Tamandua tetradactyla: one gene and its partners. The protein of the gene in region 3 purifies or fractionates together with the protein of the main gene of each other region. This does not show direct contact. Links are inferred from orthologs where the notes say so. Each region holds a gene or a part of one and is shown on either strand. Other genes may lie near its edges.

Region 1 (7,964 bases), on a different chromosome or scaffold from region 3:
AGAGAAAATAGGATTTAACAAGTGAGTTATGACAGCTGAATCATTCTATTAATATTCCTTCTAGACTCCAGTGTTCTGGAGCAGCTAGAAGGAAAAATCTGAGATGACAGAATGGTAGCTCATGATAAACTCTGGAATCTGTTCATAGCTACTTACTGAAGTGTGCGTTGAAAATGATAGCTTTTTTTCTTTCTTTGCTTTGTACATATATTTTACGACTAAAAATGTTTAAAAAAAATTTAAAAACTAGAAAAAAATCATCTTTGCCATCCTAAGCGAACAATGAGTTGACACTGAGTATACTGACAAAACTGTGTAACTTCCACCACTATCTATTTCCACACTATTTTCATCATCCCAAACCAAACTTCATACCCATTTAGCAGTAACTCCCCATTCCATCCTCTCTCCACTCTAGTAACCATATTCTGCTTTCTGTCTCTATGAATTTGCTTATTCTAAATACTTCATATAAGAGAAATCATCCAGTATCTGTCCCTTTATCTCTGACTTATTCCACTCAACATGAGGTCTTCACGGTTCATCCATGTTGTCATATGTCTCAGAACTTAATTCCTTTTTACAGCTGAATAATATTCCACTAGATGGCTATACCACCTTTTGTTTATCCACTCATCTGTAGATGGACACTAGCTTGTTTACACCTTTTGGCTATAGTGAATAATGAAGAATATTGGTGTACAAATATCTGTTTGAGTCCCTGCTTTCAATTCTTTTGGGTATATACCTAGGAATGGCATTGCCAGGTCATATGGTAATTCTATGTTTAACTCTCTGAAGAAACTCCAAACAGTTTTCCACAGTGGCCATACTATTCTACATTCCTATCATACCATATTTACATTCCAATGTATGAGTGTTCCCACCTCTCATCTCTTTCTAACTTTGACAGCCTCTGCTCCAACTCTCCCACCTAACCCACACCCCATTGGGGGCCTTTCTCCATATATCAGTTTCTGCTTTCTGGGTTTGTGTCTCTCCACCACACCAAATGTTCTCAGCCCTCCAAATGGCCCCTCTCCTCCCTGAGGGGTCAACTGCTGGCCCCCTTTTACCATGCCAACCCCCCTGCATGGCCCCCACCCAAATGACAGCCTCAATAGTATCCCATGCCCATGCGCTCACTCGCCTGCACAGGAGGCACGCCGTTGTTGCTCTGCCGGAACTCACCCTCGTCGCCTGCGCTAATCTCCTCGTAATCGTCCAGCATCCGCACTCGCATCCCCGGCGTCAACGTCTGCTGCACGTACTCACCATAGCCACTGCGGCTTGAGAATTCACAGCGCGGGCGAAAAGCCCGCCCTTGCCTTCCGGGGGTGCTGATGATGGTGGGGAGTAAAAGGCTGGGGCCCGAAACGCAGGGCTGAAAGATGGATCGGGCCGGCCGGGGAGGCGAAGCGCCCTGTTCACTGAAGTTCCGGGCCCAGCCCATGTTCCGCACCAGCTCTGAGATGAGGTTGCCCACAGCCAGACAGAATTCCAGCTTCCGCTGAGCACGGCTTTTCTCCCGGATGAACTCCTCCCTCGCGGGGGAGTGGGAGCCTCCGTCTCCAGCCCCTGGCTCTGGATTATTATTCAGCTGATCCAGGAGGGAAGTGACACACAGGTAGCGCTTCACCAGGGAGAAGAGTAGCTTTCCTGGTATCTGTAGGATATAATCCTTGGCCTAGGTTCATCTCCCAGCTTTAGCTCCTCCCCTTTCCTCTCAATGTCATCCTCTACAGAAAAAAATAAAGGTCTCATCCCTAAGCCTGTAGTTCTCAAACGCTGGTTTGTGTAAGAAACAAAAAGGGAATGTCTTAAAAATACAGATTCCTGAATTTTAATCTCAGAGATCCTAAGAAAATCTGGGGTAGAGAGGGGTACATAAACCTTTACTTTAACAAGCTTCTAAGTAGTTCTGGTGCTGAGGTACAGTCCTGAACCACCTTTCAGATGCCCTAGGCCTTGTACAGAGCTGGGGTACCTGAGGCAGATGAATGCCCTCAAAGGCCATGCAGTGTTCTTCAGACGATGTGGTCTCTGCAAACAGCTCCAGCAAAGTATAGCGGCTGTCAAAATCCATGTGCTGCTCAATGCCATCTTGCTGGCTCAGCGACAGAAGGACATGAGCCCGACTCCCTGTAATCCACACCCAAACCATATCTTCTCTTCAAGCCCCAATACCTCCCCCCCTGCTTTTTCTAGTCTCTACTGCCTACCCTAGAGGGCTTCAAACTTATTTGAGACTGAGAACCACAGTAAGAAGCACATTTCACATTGTAACCCCAGTACAAGCAAGTGTACATACAAATGAAATACACATTTCATGCTACAGAGCTTATCCTTATTAAGTGCTGTTCTCTGATATTTTACGTTTCTTTTAAAATCCACTAAATTGATTTCACAACCAATAAATCTCAACTCACAATTTAAAAAATGCAAATTTACCCCATTCTCTTTTTTGCCATTGCACTGGAAAAGGACAGATAAAACCAGGTGCTATCACTTCATCCTGTTTATATAGTACCTGCAATAGCCTATTAATTTATACTTTTCCTTTGCATTGAATTGATATTCGCCAAATACTAGGTTCTCTTACAGAGTTGGGGAAGCTCTTCTCTTTCTGTTCTTACTCCCTGTAGCCCATTCTCTCCAATGTTCTCCTTCCCCCGGCTGACTCTTACCAGCATCATGGGCTGCCAGAGCCTGCAGCATCTTGCCTGCACTCCGACGGATCTGAGGCTCAGGGTTGCACAACATCTTCATGAGCAGGTCCAGAGCTCCCGTTTCCCTGAAGACCCCAGTGAGGGGCCCAATGCTGGCATAGGCACTGAGCACATGGATGGTGTGGAGCACAGCGGCAGTGAGGCTAGAGGTCCCACCCTCTGCCAGTTGCCTGGCAGCCCTGCATACCAGTGCCCGTACATCAGCCTCCATCTCTCCCACTGCCACTTCATCCAGGCCTCCTGGATCCCTGGGAAAACTTCCTGAAACCCCAGCAGGCTCATGCTGAGGTCCCTTAGATAGCACTCTTTCGCCTAACAGCATGGGGCAGTTGGCGTAGACCTCAGGGGCTGACAACCACATGAAGATGTGCTCTGCCTTGCCTTCGGAGTCCACACCCACTCTGCCAATTTCTTCACACCTCAGGACAGTCCATCGGATGAGGTATTCAGGACACCCATCATGTCCAGGCCGCTGTCGAAGGAGTTCTTCAGGATATGCCTGCAGCTGGGACCCCAAGGGCACCATGATGTCCCCGGCACGCCATGTCCCCACCATCCTGACCTCCTGAGACACATAATGAGAAATATAAAAGCAGTATAGGAAAGGGATAAGAGTACCTGGAGGGGCAAGAGTCTAGAGACATGGAGGGGGGTAATTGGTAGGCTGCAGGTAGAATTCAGAGGCCAAAAAAAAGGGCCAGATATAGGATGGGATAAATAGTTGAACACACTCTGGGACTTAATTATAGGAGAAGGAGAATGGAGTAAGGACAGCAAAAAGGACAGCAAGAGGATATCCTGCATTTCTTAAAGAAACGGAAATTACAAGAGAATAAGAAGAGTAAAAGACAAGGTAACAGAAGAGTGACAGTTAAGCAGGACAGTCTAAGCAGAAGAGCAGGGTGGCTAAGGGATACAGATCAGGACTAAAAGGATGGCATGAGTGAGCAGGAAGGACAGCAGCATGTGAGACAGTGGGGCCAGAACACGTAAGGAAAGTTGATATAGAGGAGGGGCAGGACAAGTAATATAAATGAAGAGGCAAATGTGGAATGTGGAATATAAAGCAGTAGGCCTCGGGAGATTCAGAAAATGGAGATGGAAAGAAGGCTGGGATGTGGGAGCAGATGGCTGGATGGGGAGAGTATATGAGTATTGTGAGGGTGGGGAAAATGGACCTAGGAATCACATAAAAGTATGGGAGAAAAGGACCAGGTCCCAGTTCATACTTACGCTGTATCTAAGTCAAAGGGTGGTAACCATGGGATTGAGACAGTAGGGGATGACTCCAAGAGATGGTGGGGTATTATTACAGATTTCGCTCAGAAGAATGCCCTTTGAACTCTAGCTTTTTTGCTTTCCATCTACAAAGCCTTAGACAAGTTATTTAACCTCTGAGCCTGTTTCCATGTCTGCTAGATGGTGATAATATGTATACCTACCTCTTGAAGTTGACTTAAAGATTTAATAAGATCTCATATGTAAAACACTTAAAACAGTGACCAGCAAGTAGTGAGCACTCAGTAAACAACCTAATATTATTATTGTTAGAGGGGAAGGTAGGGGCAGTCATCAGATAAACTGAGAGAGGTGATAAGCCAGAAGATTCTAGGAGAGTAGGTGATGCTAGTGATAGGGATGAGATATGAGTGAAATGAAGCAGGTGTAGGGGTAACAGAGAATGGTGAGAATGAGAGGGGAAAGTAAACCCAGGCAGAGAAAAGGCAATTTAGGCAGGAGTCATGTGGGAGTATAGAACAGAAGATAAGAGTAGAAGACAGGAGTGAAGGGGAGGGGGAAACAAGGGTGTGGGGCAAGGTTCCAGTTAGCACCGGGAACCAGTTTGAACGGGGAACTCTGATGTGATGGGCTCCTGATTAGAGAAGGTTGGAGAAGTAAAACAATGGGATAGGCCTCAACTGGGACGAAAGGGGGTGGGGAACACACCCGTAGGGTGGGCCTAGAGTAGGACCAACAAATTGATGTGAGCTGCAAGGACGCGGGGATGAAGCCAGCAGGTAGACGCAGGCAACAAGGTCAAGCCCAAGCTTACAGACAGTGGGGGCGGGGAAGAAATGGGCACAGGTTTGGGAACGGGGTGCGGTCCGAGATGGGTGACAGAACCGAGCTAGTCTCAACGAGCAAGACCAGGCTCTCTCCGTCAGCCCCACAGACAGTGGGAAAGGGGCCTCGAAGGGGACTGGGGAGGGATAGGGAATGGGGCCGGGTAGAAGCGGAACTTTCCTCTCACCTCCCACCTCCCGGCTTGGCGCTAGCAGGAACCCAGCGGCCGGTCCCGCAGTCCTGGCCCCGCCTCCCCAGCAGCTCCCTTCCGGGTCACAAAACGTGTGCACGCACGGCCGCGCATCTACGGGTCCCACCGCGGCCCAGAGCCGAAAGCTGCGTTAGAGACTGCGAGTGGAGCATGCGTGGTGGCCGCAGGCGGCTGCACTGGGGCGAGGGAATTAGCGGGGCAAGTGCCGCGTTGCAGGGATAAATGGGGATCTGGGGTCACGTTGCTCCTCCCTCTGCAGAGAAGCAGAGCAGACAGCTCCTTCCATCACAGCAAACGTTAAAATGCCTTTCCCCTTATCTGAGTCTGCCTTCCTCATCCTCCAACACCCATAGTAACATCCGCTTATCTCCCTCAAACCTAGTAACCTAAATCACTGACCCTTACCCACACTCCAACCCTAGGGCTGTCCTTTGAGGTTTTTGTAGGTCACGTGCCCATGTGTTGCCCACCCTCCTCAGTAATACCTTGGGATGGTTGTGTCACTTTTCTTTTTAATTAAAATGTTGGCCTAAGCCCCCAACAAAGCCAAGTACAGGGAGAAAGTCCCTTGCCCCCAAAACTGATCCTTAAATTAACTGGACAGGGTCCCACCCAAACCTACCCCTTAACATTTCAGTTTTCATCAAGCAAAGTTTGCTTCTCAGCGCACAAACTTTTTGGAGTTTGCTTCATGTTCGCACCTCCCTCCCTCCCTATGTGGAAAAACAGAGCCAAAGACCCAACAGTCTGTGCACAAAAATGATACATTTATTGAAAGAGTATTTTTTTTTAATACAAAAGAAAGCTCTGTACATAGGACTGTGATCATGTCCACTATTCCTGGGTCAGCATCCCAGGGGAAGTAGAAACCACTGACATACACACCCACATTCACACATACACACACTCAGGTACACATACACACACAAACATACCCCAGAGCCACCAAGGAAGGGAAACACCAAGGGTCGCTGCACATATAAATGCCACCTCATCCCTGACACACACGTTCTCACAAGGCCACGCTCACACAACACACATTAGAAGCACTTTGCCTGATTCATTCACTGGGTCTGTCTTTTGTGGGAAGGAGAGTAGGAATTCATCAGAGTCTCCTCCCATGGGTGGGGGAGTGGGGAGTGAGTGAGTGGTGGTGGTGGAGTGAAACAAGAGCAGAGAAAGGGGGCTGGGCAGTTACAGACCTGAGACCCAAACTCCCCAATCTCTGGCCCCTGCTTTGCGATGACCCAGGTTGGTAAGCCACCAATAAGCCCCAGCTATCTCCAGGAGAAAGCCCAGAAAGGTGATTTCCATCTTAGCACCCCAAATTAGGGTAAGACAGCAGTGGGGGTTATAGGTTAGGGGGTTCTCAAACATGTTGGCAGATCATCCCCTTGACAACTAGGCTATGCGTAAAATCTTCCCCCACCCCTTCACCTAATCACAGAAGCAGGTTTATTCTTACTGAAGGCAGTTGTAAAGTACTAAGAAAACTCCACTCCAACTGCTGTCATGTTTCTGAAAAAGCTCTGTTTCTGGATATAGGTGGTGAAGGCAGGCTCTGACATAGGGTAAAAGACCCTCCCCCATGCTGGCCCACCCTCAAGGTCTACCCCAAAGAGGGTAGAGATGGGTGGCGCACGGCCCCTGTACAAATTACATAAATACTGAGGTTACACTTAGAAAAATAAAGTCATTTTCTTCAAGGCTTTTGTCTTAATTTAAAAAAGTTACAGTAGCTGCTCACTCCCTGGGAGAGCTGTCCATTTCTGGCTCCCCTATGGCTGCACTCAGCCTAAGAGCTCTCTCACTTCTTCTGACCCCCAATCCTGCCTCTCACCCCCTCCCAGACCCCACCCTGCTCACTGCAACTTGGGCCCCAGGCAGCTGCAGGCCCGGGGAGCACAAGGCTGCAATGCCCATGCATGTGGCACAAATGAAGTCAGTTGCCTAAACCTGACACCCTCCCCCCGACCCCAACATTTGGTCTCCCTCTTCCCCTCCCTAGCAACAGCCCTATAGGGCAAAAAGAGGCCCAGAGCTGTGGGTCACCCTCCCCACCCCATCGGGGCACGGCCTGAGGGCCCCTCCCCCGGCTTTCTCCTGGAAATAACCCAGGACCCGGCCATCCCATCTCCCCTCCCACACTGGTGGGCTCCAAGCTTATGGGGTGGCTCTGTCCCCAGGGGCCCAGTCAGTTCTGGGGAGCCCAAGGGCTCTCCAGGGAAGGGGAGTTTGGGCAGGGAGGGGGACGAGAAAAACGCCATAAAAAAAAGTTAAATATTTTAAAAATATATATTTATAGATTTGTTTTCACTTCGTCTCCTCAAATAAAAAGTTCAGAATCAACTTTAAGTAAAGCAGCTGGGAGGAGGGGGGGGGAAAGACAGGGGTTGGGGGAGAAGGGAACATTGGTGGTTCCCTCCATCCCAGAAGCCCCTGGAGGCCTAAGGGGAATGATGAGGCAGGGCAAATGGCCCCAGGAACCTGCCCAGTGCACAGGCCCAGCTACTCAGGAGCTGAAGGGGCAGAGGGTGGTGGTATGAGGGAAGAAGCCCCCGTCTCCCCAGCTGGCTCCCTGAGGGGCAGTGGCAGGGCTCTTTTAACCCAGCCCGTGGCAGACACAGTGCTAACCTGGGGTCAGCAAGGAGGCTGGGGAGAGGGCCCCAACTGCTTCCTCAGGGGAGGACACAGTGCCTAGTCCCACAGAAGGCCTGTGTGTGGGAAGGTGGGGCACGGTCCCATTGGGTATAGCTAATACTCATGGCAAACATTGAGCCAAGCTGGCGAGGGGAGTCTGAGGAGGGAGGGGAGCCCACCATCAACAGAAATGGGAGGTGGAGCTAGATGGAAGGGAGGGGGGGGGAAGGACAGGGTGGAGAGCAGGCAGGCCCATGTCTTTGGCTGGAGTGAGAGGGCTCAGTTCTGTGGCTACCCACTCCTCCTCCCCGCCTCCCTCC
Region 2 (7,328 bases), on a different chromosome or scaffold from region 3:
TGATGTCATTTTTAAGTTTTTGTCTTCATTCTCTTATTCTATACTGGATATCCTAGAGACACAAAAAAAGGAAACCTGGGAGTGGAAACATTTACTTTTAATAACAGCATACTCTGTGGATATTTTATTGTGCAGTTTCCATGGTAAAACATATTTTAAATGCCCTTCTATTCTTTAAAAGTAAATTATTATGGAATCTTGAATAGGGCCTGAGATTTGGTTGGTCTGCTCAGGTAAGTGGATTTCTCAATAAATCCCAGAGTACTGTGGGCAATGAATAAAGAAATATTCGCAAAGTCCGCTTGGCAGACTGGGGAGAAAGGAGGAAATATTCAACTTCCTCATTTGGAGAATTTCTGATACTCTTGCAAGCAGTGGAGACAACCAAATCAATAGGCCAAGCCCTCAGTCTTGGGGTTTGTTCCTATGGAACTTATTCTTGCAAGGGATAGGCTAAGCCTACTTAAAATTATACCTAAGAGTCATCCCCAGAGAAACTCTTTTGTTGCTCAGATGTGGCCTCTCTGAGCCAACTCTGCAAGTGAATTCACTGACCTCCCTCCTACGTGGGACATGACTCCAGGACGGTGTAAATCTCCCTGGCAACGTGGGACAGAAATCCTGGGATGTGCTGACACCTGGCATCAAGGGATTGAGAAAGCCTTCTTGCCCAAAAAGGGGAAGAGAGAAATGAGACAAGATAAGATATTCAGTAGCTGAGAGATTTCAAACAGTCCAGAGGTTATCCTGGAGGTTATTTTTATGCATTATATAGGTATTCTTCAGTTTATGGTGTATTGGAGTGGTGGAGGGAAGTACCTGAAACCATTAAGCTGTGTTCCAGTAACCTTGATTCTTGAAGATGACTGTATAGATATAATGTTTACAAAGTGACTGTGTGACTGTGAGAACCTTGTATTTGATGCTCCTTTTATCCAGGGTATGGACAGATGTGTAAAACAAAATGGATTTAAAAAAAATAGGGGAGACAAAGGTTAGAATGAATTGAGTATATGGAAATACTAGTGATCAATGAGAGGGGTGAAGTGTATGGCATGTATGAGTTTCTTTTTTCTTTTTATTTTCTTCTGGAGTGATGCAAACGTTCTAGGGGATGATCATGATACGAATACACAACTATGTGATGATACTGTGAGCCACTGATTCTGCACCATAAGTGGAATGTATGTGTGTGAAGATTTCTCAATAAAAATATTTGAAAATTATAGCAAAATTAAAACTAAAAATTGAAAAATAAAAAATTAACCTAGCAATTAAAAACGTTTATTTCTTCCTATGTGTAACAGATGAGATACATTTTCCCTGGAATCTGTATTTTTAAGTTTCCCTACTGATAATATTGATATCGAAACTGTATTTGATACATGATAACTCTTCTCAAAGTAGGTTTCTCTACATGGAATCTAGCTGTTTCATAACGTATAAACCCTTAACAAAATTCAGACATTTCAGGCTTATTTCCTTAGCAATCAATGCTGACAGTACATCAAAATATCAATGGCTTAGCTAAGTGTTTGCATTGTTCAGTTTTAGTTTGAGAAATCTATATAGAAGGTACAAGACATGTGAGAGCTTTCCAATACATTATTCCAACAATAAAGCTGGCTCAATTTTCTGGCCCAATGTTTACTTGGAGAAAATATAAATTTGGACAGACTCAGAAATGGTTAGCTGTACCGGTAAAGATGTGTCCAGGATTCCTTATGTCTATTAATAATTTGAAACCCTTCCTTAATTTTCATGAAATGGCCATAATTCTAAAGACGACTTCATATGTCAATGATGCAATGACTCCCCTCAATAGGAAAATAGAATACAGTAGAAAACCAGAAGACCTACGGGACCTGTTTCTTGCTAAATTCATCAGTAGAAGCAAATTTCAGTAACAATGCAAAAACAAAGACTAAAAAAGCTCCTGTATTTATACATTTAATAAAAATTTATTCACATTGTCTTACAAAAATAGGGATACAAAATACCAGTGTAAATACATGTGAACACTCAACCAAATGATTCCACGCTGACCATTAACTCACTAGGAAAGCATATGCTTACACTGATCCCTTCAGAGTCACCAAAAATGTCTGTGATTATCAACACTTAACATGAAAATACTTTGTTTTACTCATTCATATCAAAACCATTTAAATATGTCTTTTTAATTGTATTTGGATCAATAAGTAATTCTTTAAAAATCATTTTTATTAATACTTAATTAGCATTTATTGGTCAAAACATTGTTTGAAATTTACCTACCTCTGGGAAGGGGGAATTTTTTTTTAAGTTACTTTTAAATTCAAAGATTTAAAGGCTGCTATTATTTTATTATGTGGAAAGAAACTTGTAACCCACGAAAGAGGATCAACAGTAGTAAAAAAATGTAGCATCCACAAGGAAAAAAATTGTAACTGTTTGAAATAAAAAGTTATTGATCAGTCTTGGAGATATTGTGTACACCTTTGTTTTTAACAATACAAAACAGCTGCAAATATACTGAGATCATGATCTAAAATCGTATTTCAAAAATCATGACATTAATCATAGGCATTTGAATTTGAGTTTTAAACTACATATTTTCAGGTTTTCTTGGTGTTAGTTTTTAATAACTACAAGACAGAGAACACGAATAATTAATGTAACCTAATACAATTTTCATACCTGATCTGCGCCTCTAGGATTATATTCAAGGGAAGGTGGTTGCACTCCATCAGTTTAGCAAATAAGCAGAAACTTGATACAAATCACGTAGGTAAGCCACACTGTAAGAAAGGCTCTTAAATTTTTACTCAGACTTCCGGGCTGACCATGTAAGTCAAAATTTCTGAAAATTTGACTGCATTATTTAACACAACGCAGAAAACGTCTAAGTGGTTGCCAATTTAGAGCTCTGGTATACACGTAATGGATAGCAGGATGAAGAACTATGCTGAATAATGCACTTATTCCCTACTCGACAGGTTCTAGGAACCTTGCTAGGTGACCCTAAAAGGGCAAACATCAGAACAAGAGAAACTGCGCTTTCTACCAGCTGGAACGGATTTGTTCCTCCTTCACAAGCAGTATCTCATCAGACCTATCGTGTCCGGACTCAAGAGATTCAATCGCGATGCCCCTCTTACTCATATTTCAGAAGAAATGGGTCACGTCAATTCATTTCTAGACCGAGTACATAAAACTGAGACGAAGATGTTATTAATCGTCGGCTGCGGTAAACAAAACCAACATTCGCAATTCTCGTTTCTTTTTTTTTTTCTTTTCTCCCCCTTTCCAAAGAGTGAGAACCGCATTCATGAGAGCAATAAGGCTTTTCCGACTTCTCCCAAGTTCAGAAGAAGTCGAGGAGGACTTAGAAATCTGCCGAGCCCGTTTCAGGCCTAGGAGAGTTATCTGATTAAAATTAAAGCAACGAGCGAGCCAACTGGAGGAACGAGGTGGACGAGGGCGCTAAAGCGGACGCGCTGCGCATCTCCACAAGGGCCAGGGGGCCGGGCGAGGTCGGCCTGCGGAGGCTGCGGGCTCCAGTCCTGGGCCGGGCGGCTGGTGGCGTCTGGCAGGAGGCGCCGGACTCGGAGCGGGAAGCCCCCGGGGCCGCCCGGCCGCCGAGCTGGGGACGAGCCACGTCTGGGGCCGCGGTGCTCTCGTCGGGGCTGGTCTTGCTGGCGGGCCCGGAGCACGGCCCACCTCGGTCCCGGAGGCCGCTCCCGCTGGCGACCGGGTTGGACACCGGCCGCCGCCGCCGCCGCCGCTTCCTCGGCGGAGCCCGGAGCCCGGGTGCCCGCCAGCCAACCCGCCGCAACCCCAGCCCTCCGGGCCGCGGACCCGGGCTCCGCTCCGCCTCCTTCCTCCGCCTCCTGCTCCCGCGTCGCCGACTCCTAGGTCTCTAGGTCCGGGGCAGACGCGCAACTTACCCGCCGCGATGAGTTTACGTAGCGGACCTCGTCACTGATTACGGACGGGAGGAGGTGGGGACGCCGAGCCGGGCCCGCCGCTCAGGAGCAGCGCTGCCACCCAGCAACCCCGCGCTGGCGCCGGCGGCGGACCCACGTAGCCCCCACGTCAGCTCTGATGCGGCAGCCGCAGCCTCTTCGCCTAGTCGTCCCCAAATGTAGCGCCGACGCCGACGGAACCGCGTCCCCGCGCCCTGTCCTCCCCTCCCCCACTCGGCGACCGCTCTCCCCGGGAACGCCCGGAGGGGAAGTCCAGGCCTGAACTCCGCCCCCTGCCGGCCGCCAGCGGGAGTGCGGCGCTAACAATCCAACAATTAAATGGAACGGAAGGGGGGGGGCCCTACGCCGCGGCTGGGAGGAGGAAACTGACCTGGGGGTGGGGAGGAAGCCCGGGCGGGGGTGGAGCCGAGGGGCGGCGCTGGGAACCGGAAGCACCCCGAGCGATGCTGGAAAAGTGACTTGTTGCACACCCGCTAGCGGCCTACATTTGTGTCGAGAAGTCATCTTTTTTCCCGGCTGGCAGTCGCTGCAGCCCCGGTCAAGGTCTGTGGCCATGGCGGCTCGGTCCCGGGTCAGCAACACGTTGTGACAGGAGCGGGCTTCGGGAGAGCGCCGCGTCTCCCGCGACCGGTGACTGGTCCACCGTCCTGAGGAACGTCTGGGGCCTGCGGGACCCCTGCTGGACGCGGACCCCTCCCGGAAGTCCGGCTGCCCGCCTTGTCCTAGCTTTCTGCCGCTTCCCCGGTGACCTTGGCACAAGTTGCTCTTCCCAGTGTTTCACTGTCGCAGAGAAACGATAGTCCGCACTAAAAGATGTGACGGAGGAGAGTAAGGTTTTCTCTTAATAAGCAAAACCCCTGCCTATAAAGGAGGAGAGCTGAGTTTTCAGCCAAGTGGAAATCTTGGGCTTTCAAGTTAAGGTTTGTGAGAGGAACGTTTCTAGACCTGTTGTAAACTATACACCTATTTGTATATACTTAATAGGATACTACGTCGTCTTTAACACTGGTGTAGTAGGCTGTCCAAAATTTAGAATATTGAGCCTAAAAATAAACCGTTTACACTTAGGAAAAAGTAAATTCCTAACAATGATTGAAAACCCAACTCTGTGATAGTCAGGAATTCACGCTGGAAACCTCTGTCAAGGTCAACCCCTTCGGTACACTCCTTGAAGAGTTGCTGTGAAAATAAAAGCATTTATCAGTGTAGTGCAGGCAGAGAAGGGAAGCTTTGTGAGATATTGGGGAAAGTCCGTGCAGGTTCGGAAAAATGCTGAACTCTTGAGCGGTAGGTTTTGACCAATCTGGGCCAGTAAACTAAGCAGAGGTAAGAGAATAAGTACCCGGCAAGTTCATTTCCCTTTTGGCACAGGCAGAATTGTGTAGCAACAATGCTTGTCCCCACCTTTTAAATATTAATTTCTTATTGAGGAACATTAGCAAATTAATAGAAAGTCAAAATAAATACAAAGTTAACCACATCCTGTTTGAGTGTGTAGTTAGACGAGGCTGACACAGAAAATGTATCCATAAGTAATCAGTGCAGCTCATTTTAGCCCAGAAAAAAAATGGGTCATTAGGAGGAAAGAAAACTAAAAAGGGCTGGACTACTAAATCCTGAAAAATTATACTATTCATTGTTATGAAGGTTGATCAGGTGATAGAAGTCTAGTTAAAATGATTTAGGAGAAATTGTGATAATTTCTGTTTCCGAAAGACTGTTCTCCACCTACTTGATTATTCCTAAATTTCCTTAATGAAGGATAAATTATATAGTTAGATTTTGTTAGAGAAAGTGCGTAAAATGGAAGTATGGAGTGGTAAGTGACATATACTAAGATGTTAATGTCATATCGAATCCTCAAGGGCAAAGGAAGAAAAGTCCGGAAGACAGTGCCTAGAATCTCCAGGGAGAGGACAGAAGTTATCAGGAAAGGTAAATGCAGTTTCCTATTGCTGCTATAACAAATTACCACAAACTTGGCGTCTTAAAACAACCCAAGTTATTATCTTACTATTTTGTAAGTCAAATGTCTGACACAGTTCTCACTGGGCTAAAATCAAGGGTTGGCAGAACTGGAGGCTCGTAGGAAAGAATCTGTGGCCTTGCCTTTTCAGCTTCTAGAGGCGGCCGGGATTCCTTGGCTAATGGGTTTCTTTCTTCCTCAGTCTTCAAAGCCAGCAACAGTTGGTAGGAGTTTGGTTCATGTTACCATCTATTTGATTCTCTCCTCTCTCTCCTTCTTCCACTTATAAAGACCTTTAAGATTATGTTGCCCCACCTTGATAATCTGGAGTAATTTCCCCAATCTCAATGTCATTTTATTAACAATATTAATTCCATCTATAACCTTAATTTCCCTTTGCCACCTGTCTTTGTTTGCCAGGGCTGCTGTAACAAGTACCATAGACTAATTGGCTTGAACAACAGAAGTCTATTGTCTCATGGTTCTGAAGGCTAGAACTCTGAAATCAAGGTGTCATCAGGGCCATGCTTCTCTTAAAGGGAAGAATATCCTCCATATCTCCCCTGGCTACTAGTTTGTTACAGAATAGCTCAGTCTCTGGCTCAGTCACATGGTCATTCCTCTCCCTGTCTCTTTCTCTGTGTCAGAGTTTCCTTGCTTGTTAGAATACCAGTCTGATCAGATTAGGAACCACCCTACTCCAGTTTGGCCTCATCTTTACTAATCACACCATCCTATTTCCAAATAAAGTCATAGTTACAGGACCAGTGATTAAAATTTAAACGTCTTTTTAGGGGACACAGTTCAATCCTTAACACTACATAACTGTTATAGTCACAGGTTATAGAGATTAGAATGTGAACATTTTGGGGGACCATTTCTCTGCCTACCTGCAGGAAAGGATTCCAAAAGAAGCTTAAGTTCCTGAAGATAAACTACCCACCTCTCAGTATCATCTCTTCCAAAGCATTCAACCATTTGATAAGAAATTTTAATAACTGATGTTTCACTTTCCCATATCTATGCCTAAGTAAAGATTATAGTAATTTTTTTTTGCATGCTGTATGGTGGGGGTAGCATTTCACTCTTTTTCCATGTGACTATCCTGTTATTGCAGCACCACTTGTTGAATGTGGGGAGAGGGATAGGGTGGGGGGTGGAGCAGAAAGTGCATGGGCTGGAAATAAAACCTGGGTCTCCCACATGAGATTGTAGTAATTTTTAAAATGGGATATCAGGGATTAAGAAGAGCAGCAAGGTTATATTCTCATTTTCTACCATCAGCCTGGGTAGTGCCAGTGTCCTCATAATTTGCACTGAATAGAACCTAGTCTGTATCCAAGACATATCTTTGTTCAAATCTGATTTTCATAGATCACTTTCAGAGAACTGTG
Region 3 (7,977 bases):
TCACTCTGTCTCTCACTGCTACAATCAATCAGTCCCTTCTTTTTTACTCTAAATCATCTGTGGAAGAACTACATGATGTTAACTAGAGGCAAAGGAGAGTGTTAAAAAGTTCTCTGGTAGCAGGCTGCACAGGTCTGAATCTTGGATGTGCCATATAAAAGCTGTTACCACTGGGCATGCCATTTAACCTTTGTGATTCTGTATCCTTATCTATAAATTAAATTTAATAGAAGTATCTACCCTACTGGATTCTAGAGAGGCTAAATGAATTAATAGATGTAAAGTGCTTAAATCATCTGGTATATTGAAAATACTCAATAGATATTAGTTGCTATTATGTTTATTATTATTAGCCAACAGCTAGGTGCTCTCAAAGGTTATCCTCTGAGAATACAATTCAGAAAATCAAAAAGGGTTACAAAAAATGAAATTTACTTTATTTTGGGCTACAGAGTTACCATAAACATATATCAAAAACAAATGTATTAAATAAAATGTCTAATTTTTCTAACAACTGACTAAGAGATTCTATAACAACATGTAATTTAGAGTTTTAAGAATCCCCCAAATCCAATCAAGGTGCTCTGGATATAATCACAGGCCAGTATGACTAGATTGTGATATTAACCAAGAAAACTTCTATATAAATACACCCCACTATAAATTAAGAAAGGGTATGTTATTAGAAAGAAGACAGATGTCCTTGTACCCATAAGAAGTGAAGTACAAAGATACAAAGTTTGGCAGTGTGTCTCCAACATGGTCTCCCAAGAAAAAGTTGTCCCTGATCCACAAATAAGATACATTTTCACTGTGGAGAATGATTGCTGGATGATACTCACCAGTGATGTCATTCACTCTCCTCTTGGTCTAATTTTATGAACACAAAATATTGTTTTGCTAATAATTTGGTTTTCCCTACACATCTGTGCAGACTGCCAAAAAAAAAATGAATATGCAGCTGGACTGATATTTATATTTCCCAACGTAAATTAATAATGCAAATGCCCTCTCTGATCTCCTCATCCAGAAGTAATCCCCGCTACTTCCCAAAGCCCTTATCTTTTACTTCTACTGTAGTACTTATTTCTTCTGCCTCCTTATTGTTAGCTGTTTACATGTTTCTCTCTTCCACCAGACTGCAAGCTTCTGAAAATATGACTACATTTTTTGTTTTCCATGGTGTACCGTAACTTTGTTCCTAACTGATACTTAAATGTTTGATGAATAAATGAACAGACAAATAATAGCATCATGTGAATATTCTATTCCCAGTAAAGACTGAGAAGTACATGCAAAGACTGCTCTTACCTTATTCTTTTCATTTTGAATAATTTCTAATAGTTGGTCAGTATGTCCTTCATCTATACACCTTTGGCCTGCTAACTGAAACAGGCTAAAATCTTCTTCTTTAAAATTTTGCTCTTCTAGGATTTGCTGGGCAAAACCAAAACACAAAAAGGACAAACAAAAAATTAAAATTCAATATAATAACCATTTGACTTATTTTTTCTCTCTGAAAAAAAGGAAATCTATTTTAATTCTAGATAAGTTGCACAAAAGTACATATATAAAAAATAGGATCACCATAATAAATACTTCAATGATCTTGAAATCCACCATACCAAAGAAATCTATGAAAAGACCAGTATTAAAATTTATAAAGGTTATTTAGACAAAGATGCCACCAAAATAATCTAATCTGCCCTCCTGTCCTCATGCTATTTATTCACAGGTCAAAAAAAGCAAGGATTAAAGAAGATAAACAAGTTGAGTGACCTCAAATGTAATTACAACTAATCTGTGCCCTTCGTGTAGCTTAAAAAGGTACTTATTTTTACAAAAAGAAATGAAAAAATTACTTACACATCTTTTTATTATGGATTGAAGCTCTTCCACAGCCATTCTTGGTTATTTTTCCTTGTTTTGATGCTGAAATGTACCAATATAAAATACACTAAATTATCACTGATGTTACATTTCAGTACTCATTAACTATGTTTTACTATTCTGAATCGTTTCATTTTAAAATGGAAATTTTAAAAGCTGAAAATGTTATTATTCAAAGTGTGTTAGACTAAGAAAACAAAAATCTATTTATATAAAAAGCTACCTTTAAGTTTCAGTTAGACATTGCTACCTATCATAACTTGCCAAACCCATTCCAGCCAATCATTAAGAACATCTAGGACGATATATAAGATTCTACAAGGGTTCCATGCACTAGTGTAACTTTCCAGAAACCTACAACCTCCAGATGGGTCCCTGGGCCACATAAGACCTGAACCCTAGAGGGCTCAGCCTCTCCAGAGTATCAGCTAGTTCCATCTCCCTACCCCATATTATTGACAGTCCCTTCAAGGTAACATGAAAAAGTTAGAAAGGCCATAGCCCAAATAGGCCTAAAGAGTGGGACAGAAAAATCAGCGATGGTGAAGTCACACAGAGAAGGGAGGATTTAAAAAACTAATATGACTGCTGAATCATTATATCAATACTTCTTTTCATCTCCAGTATCTTAGAGCAGCTAGAAGTAAAAACCTAAAATTGTGGAATTGTAACCCATACCAAATTCTGAAATCTGTTCTACAACTAATTGCTGTGCTGTGCTTTGAAATTTATTGCTTTCTTTGTATAAGTGGTATTTTTCACAAAACAGAATTAAAAAGTCTGTTGTGGTGATAAAAAGCCTCTTATATTCTGGAGCAGCTAGAAGGAAAAATCTGAGAGGATGGTATAGTAGCTAATGACAAACTATGGGATCTGTCCTGTAAACTTGTTGAAGAGTGCTTTGAAAACTATTGCTTTTTTCTTTCTTTGCTTTGTATATACATTATACAATAAAAAAAATTTAAAAAGAAAAACAAAAAAAACCTCCCGTTGCATCTTTTCAGTATTCCAGGACCATCTTAAAGATGAGAAACAAAAACAAAACAACCCTTTAGAGTACTTCCACTGGGCAAGACAAGTAGCAACTATAGCAAGGGTTTTAATAAGACAAATTATTTCTTCACTGAAAATCTTCCAAAAAGTGGAAAACTAACAGTCATTTTTTCCTTTTCTAATGTCCCATTTGTCAAAAATACTGGTGCAACACAACTCACTGAGAAGATTGGAATGCTCCCATCCCAAGTGTGGCTGGGGCATTTCTCTTTAGGACTGCAGTCCCCCAAATTCAGTAATTAAAATCTCTTCATCGCACGGAGACAGAGCAACCGGCGGCCTTCGAGAAAACACTGCTCCGGTCCCGCAGGCCATCTTTTCTCCCGGATGGCAGGCCTGGCCCAAGCCCTGCAATAGGGTGGTCGCCGGGTCCTCACCGTGCCGCGCTCGAGCGCGGATAAAAGCTCAGACTGAGTGCGGAGGCATCCAGGGGAAGCCATTTCTCCCTACCACTATCCGCTGCGGGGTTCGGGCCCCACCGCTTCACGAAGCCTGGCTTGTCCACGGCGCAGGGTCCTGCCTCACAGCCCACCCACTGTCCCCGGCAGCCGGGGACTTCCCGGCGCCTATACTTACCAGTCGGCCCTCTAGCCGTCCGAGCGCCCTCCTTCACCTCCTCCCGCCGCGTAGGCCGCTCGCCGGTCCCGCCCCGGCCGGCTCCGTCTCCCCGCCCCCTCCGGCGCTACGCGAAGGGAGGCGGAGCCTGGCGGAGAGACGCCAGCGCCGGTCTCCGATTTTCAGACGACGTATCCCAATGGCTGACGGGGCCTCGCCGCTACCAGCTGGCCGCAGGGCCCGAGCTTCCGGCACTTCTCGAAAGGCCGCAGGTAAGAACGAAAACCGCTTCCCATGTTTGGACCTTGAGAACAGGGCCCTGACAGTTTCCGACCGACGCGCACGGGGCTTCCCGAACCCAGGGGAGAGGGTCTGCGGGACCGAGAGACGGACAGCTTCCCTTGTTCCTGAGTGTTCCAAGATTTTTCCTACAGGCACACACCAGTGTTCCGGGATTTTTTCCCCTCGTGGGCTTTGGCCCCAGCTGTAGAGGTGCTGGGAGCCTAGCGCTGGCGCTCGCCGGGCTGTGTGCAGCTGGCTTCGGCCCCCAGACCTATCTTCCTGGCAGACGTGCTGCAACTTTCCTACTCGGGTTCCCTGAATTGTGGGAACGTCCCCTCTTCCCCCAGGGAGCGAGCATTTAGAGGATGGAGAGAGAGTTCTCCAGAACTCAGATTTTCAAGAGTGCTTAACTAAGCAACTCTGATACAGTGAAAATTCAATCCCTAAAAAGATAGTTTTAACTAAGAAAAATTAGGGAATAAATTAAGTTTAAAAAAGAACAAAAAAAATTTGGACTACATTCCCATATCTTACAAACAAGATTGGAAATGAAATGTGTAGAAAAATAGGAAAGATAGTCTGGTGTGTTTGAGTTCTGTAAGTACGAGTCTGACCTGTACTTAGTGTGTTTGTGCATACTTGGCCCACTATGTTTGTTTTTTTTTTTTTTTTTTAAATACAGGATCTAAACTGACAAGTGCTTTGAAACAAGAAGATGCTTCTAAAAGGTATGAGAACTACTTGGGCAACTACATTCACTTATCTATATATCTCATATTAATTGACATTTTTTAAAACAGTGAGTGCTCCCATAGAGAAAATTGTTATGAGGAAAGATGCCAGCCTGGGAAACACTGTAAATTCCCACATTCATTATTATATCCCTCTACTCCAGGCTTCAAGAAAACCAAATCTGAAACTTTTACGTTGATGACTGAGATATCAGTGTATGTAGAAAGATGTCTATGAAACATCTTAACCAGGTACTCCTTTTATTGGTACACCAGGGAGTCACTGTCCAAATTTCTCTCCTTATTATTCCAAGAAGCCTTTTCTGTTCTTTTTTTACATCAAGTCTGGATTTTTGTAACAAAGTTGTCATGTACTGTGTCTTGGCTTCTCCTCAAAAACACAAGGGATTATCACCTGTAATAAAAGGTTTCTAGAATAGTAGTAGTCTATGATGATGATGATAAAAATATATATCTATCATTTCTTTCTTTGAGAAGACTCACTAAGTTGTATTGTCTTTTAGGCTTCATTTATTCATTTATTTAAGCATTCATTCATGTTAGGCGCTGCTGTTATGATGTTGAATAAACAGTTCCTAGCTAGTGGAAGAGAGTGATACCAATTAAATGATCACAGATAAATAGATAATTACAAATTGTGTTAAGTGCTATCAAAAGAAAAGACTATGATGTTAGAATGAATGAAGAATGAAAGTCCATTTTAGCCAAAGGTTGGTGGGGAGAGTGGCTGTAGGTTTTTTGAGAAAAAGTTTCTCTGAGGGCGTGATAAGCTGAGATAAAGTTAAACAAAGAAAACACAAGTGAGGAGAGACTTCTAGGCTGAGGTGACAGTATTTCTGAAACCCTGAGATGAGAAAGTGCTTGACCAGTTAAAAAAAAGAGGCAAGATAGCTGGGGTAGTCTGAGCAGAGAAGGAAAGGGGCTAGGAAAAGGGGAGAGAGGCAGGATCCTGTTCATATAGTATCTGGAAGCCATGGTAAGAAATTATATTATTGTTCTAAATGCAAATGAGAAAACTGTGTAACAGAGTGATGTGATTCAAGTTTTTGTGTTTAAAATTTTATTGTGGTAGCATAAATTTTATCTTTAAGAAATGTAAGATTTGCAATTTTAGCTACTTTAAGTGTTCAATTCAATGACATTAATTACATTTTCCAGATTATGCTACAGCACCACTATCTTTTACCAGAATTTTTCATCACCCAAAACAAGAAGGTCTGTACCCATTAAGCAATAATTTCCCCATTCTTACTTGGTGCTCTAGTTTGCTAGCTGCTAGAATGCAACACACCAGAGATGGATTGGCTTTTAATAAAAGGGGATTTATTTCGTTAGTTCTTCAGAGGAAAGGCAGCTAACTTTCATTTGAGGTTCTTTCTTACATGGGACGGCTCAGAATGATCTCTGCTGGCCTTCTCTCCAGGCCTCTGGGTACCAACAACTTTCCCCGGGGTGATTCCTTTCTGCATCTCCAAAGGCCTGGACTGAGCCGCAGTTGCTGAGATGAGGTGTGCTGAGCTGCTTGGGCTGTGCTACGTTGAGCTTTCTCATTTAAGCACCAACCAATTAAGTCAAACATCATTCATTGCAGCAGGCATGCCTAGCCGACTGCAGATGTAATCAGCAACACGTACCATTGGCTCATGGTCACAGCAACAGAGCTAGGTGCCTTCACCTGGCCAAGTTGACAACTGAATCTAACTACCACACTTGGTAAACCACTATTCTGCTTTCTGTCTCTGAAATCATACAATAATTGTCCTTTTGTTTCTGGCTTATTTCACTTGGTATAATATTTTCAAGGTTTGTCCATGTGGTAGCATACATTAGAACTTCATTCTTTTTTATGACTATAATATTTCATTGTATGTATATACCACATTTGGTTTATCCCTTCAGCTGTTGGTGTAAACTTTGGTTGCCTTCATCTTTGGTGGTTGTGAAAAATGGTGTAATAAACATTGGTATACTGATATCTGTTTGAGTTCTTGCCTTCAGTTATTTGGGTATACACTATACCTAGAAGTGAAATTGTGGGACATATGATAATATATTTTCTGAGAAACTGGCAAACTGTTTTCCACAATAACTGCACCATTTTACAATCCCATTAACAGTGAAAGAGTGTTTCTGTTTCTCCTTGTCCTCTCAAATGCTTATTTTTGTTTTTGTTTTTTGACACTGGCTATTCTAGTGAGTATGAAATGGTATAGCATTGTGGTTCTGGTTTGCATTTACCTAGTGGCTAATGATACTGAGCATCTTTTTGTATGCTTATGGCCATTTATTTATTTTCTCTGAAAAAGTGTCTATTCAGGTTCTTTGCCCACTTTTTGAGTTGCTTATCTTTTTTGTTGTCGAGTTGTAAGAATTCTTTCTATTCTGAAAATTGAACAGATATGTGGTTTCCAATATTTTCTCCCATTCTGTAAATATTCTTTTTTATCCTCACAATAAAGTACTTTGATAAGCAAAAGTTTCTAATTTTGATGAGGCCCCATTTATCTATTTTTTTTTTCCTTTTGTTGCTTATGCTTTTAGTGTAAACTCTAAGAAACCGTTTCTTAATACAAAGTCCTGAAACTGTTTTCCTCTAGGAATTTTATAGGTTTGGTTTTTATATTTAAGTTCTTGATGCATTTTGAGTTCATTTTGTATATGGTGTGAGGTAGGGTATGAGTAGGGTGCTTTTCTCAGCACCATTTGTTGAAGAATTTGTCATTGAAAGAACTTGCTACCCTTGTCATAAATCATTTGGCCATAAATATGAGGGTTGATTTCTGAACTCTGTTTGATTCCAGTGGTTTATATTGTCTGTCCTTGTGCCAGCACCATACTGCTGTGATTGCTGTGGTTTTGTAATAAGATTGAAGATCAGGAAATATGAGTTCTCCAACTTCATTCTTCTTGTTCAGCATGATTTTGGTTATTTGGGGCCCCTTACTCTTCCATATAAATTTGATAATCGGCTTTTCCATTTCTACAAAAAAGATTACTGGGATTGTGTTTGAATCTGTAAATTGGTTTAGGTAGTGTTGACATCTTAACAATTTGTAGTTTTCCCATCCATGAACACTAATATCCTTCTATTTATTTAGGTCTTCATTGATTTATTTTGACAATGTCTTATAGTTTCTGAGCCTAAGTTCTTGGTAAGATTTTTTTTCCTATTTGATACATTTTTTTAAACTTTTTTTATTGTATAGTATAACATTTATACAAAGCAAAGAAATAAAAAGCAATAGTTTTCAAAGCACTCTTCAAAAACTGGTTACAGAATAGATCCCAGAGTTTGCATTGGCCTACCATATGATCCTCTCATATTTTTCCTTCTAGCTGCTCCAGAATATGAGGCTAGAATGCTTAAATACTTTTTTATCATCACAACCGACTTTTTTATTCTTCTTTATTTTGTGAACAATAACATATATACAGAAAAGCTGTA

Evidence for each region.
Region 1: the proteins of GLMN (region 3) and CUL9 purify together in Homo sapiens (affinity purification with mass spectrometry; 3 studies listed by BioGRID and IntAct, counting the BioPlex papers as one, with this or other methods). This does not show direct contact. The link is inferred for Tamandua tetradactyla from reciprocal best matches to the Homo sapiens genes GLMN and CUL9.
Region 2: the proteins of GLMN (region 3) and CUL2 purify together in Homo sapiens (co-immunoprecipitation; 4 studies listed by BioGRID and IntAct, counting the BioPlex papers as one, with this or other methods). This does not show direct contact. The link is inferred for Tamandua tetradactyla from reciprocal best matches to the Homo sapiens genes GLMN and CUL2.

Annotation. Positions count from the first base shown.
Region 1 is NC_135331.1:100,755,325-100,763,288, reverse strand, and holds the start of CUL9 (cullin-9), read right to left. Parts: upstream 3,315-7,964; 5' UTR 3,286-3,314; coding exon 2,688-3,285; intron 2,143-2,687; coding exon 1,988-2,142; intron 1,667-1,987; coding exon 1,151-1,666; intron 1-1,150. UniProt on the Homo sapiens protein: Core component of a Cul9-RING ubiquitin-protein ligase complex composed of CUL9 and RBX1. The CUL9-RBX1 complex mediates ubiquitination and subsequent degradation of BIRC5 and is required to maintain microtubule dynamics and genome integrity.
Region 2 is NC_135327.1:216,104,947-216,112,274, forward strand, and holds the start of CUL2 (cullin-2), read left to right. Parts: upstream 1-4,183; 5' UTR 4,184-4,511; exon of another isoform or gene 4,512-4,888; intron 4,889-5,833; 5' UTR 5,834-5,903; intron 5,904-7,328.
Region 3 is NC_135337.1:32,017,045-32,025,021, reverse strand, and holds the start of GLMN (glomulin), read right to left. Parts: upstream 3,310-7,977; 5' UTR 3,105-3,309; intron 1,933-3,104; 5' UTR 1,906-1,932; coding exon 1,867-1,905; intron 1,438-1,866; coding exon 1,312-1,437; intron 1-1,311. Other genes in the region: putative RNA polymerase II subunit B1 CTD phosphatase RPAP2, read left to right, coding at 3,698-3,770, 4,463-4,508, 5,691-5,747.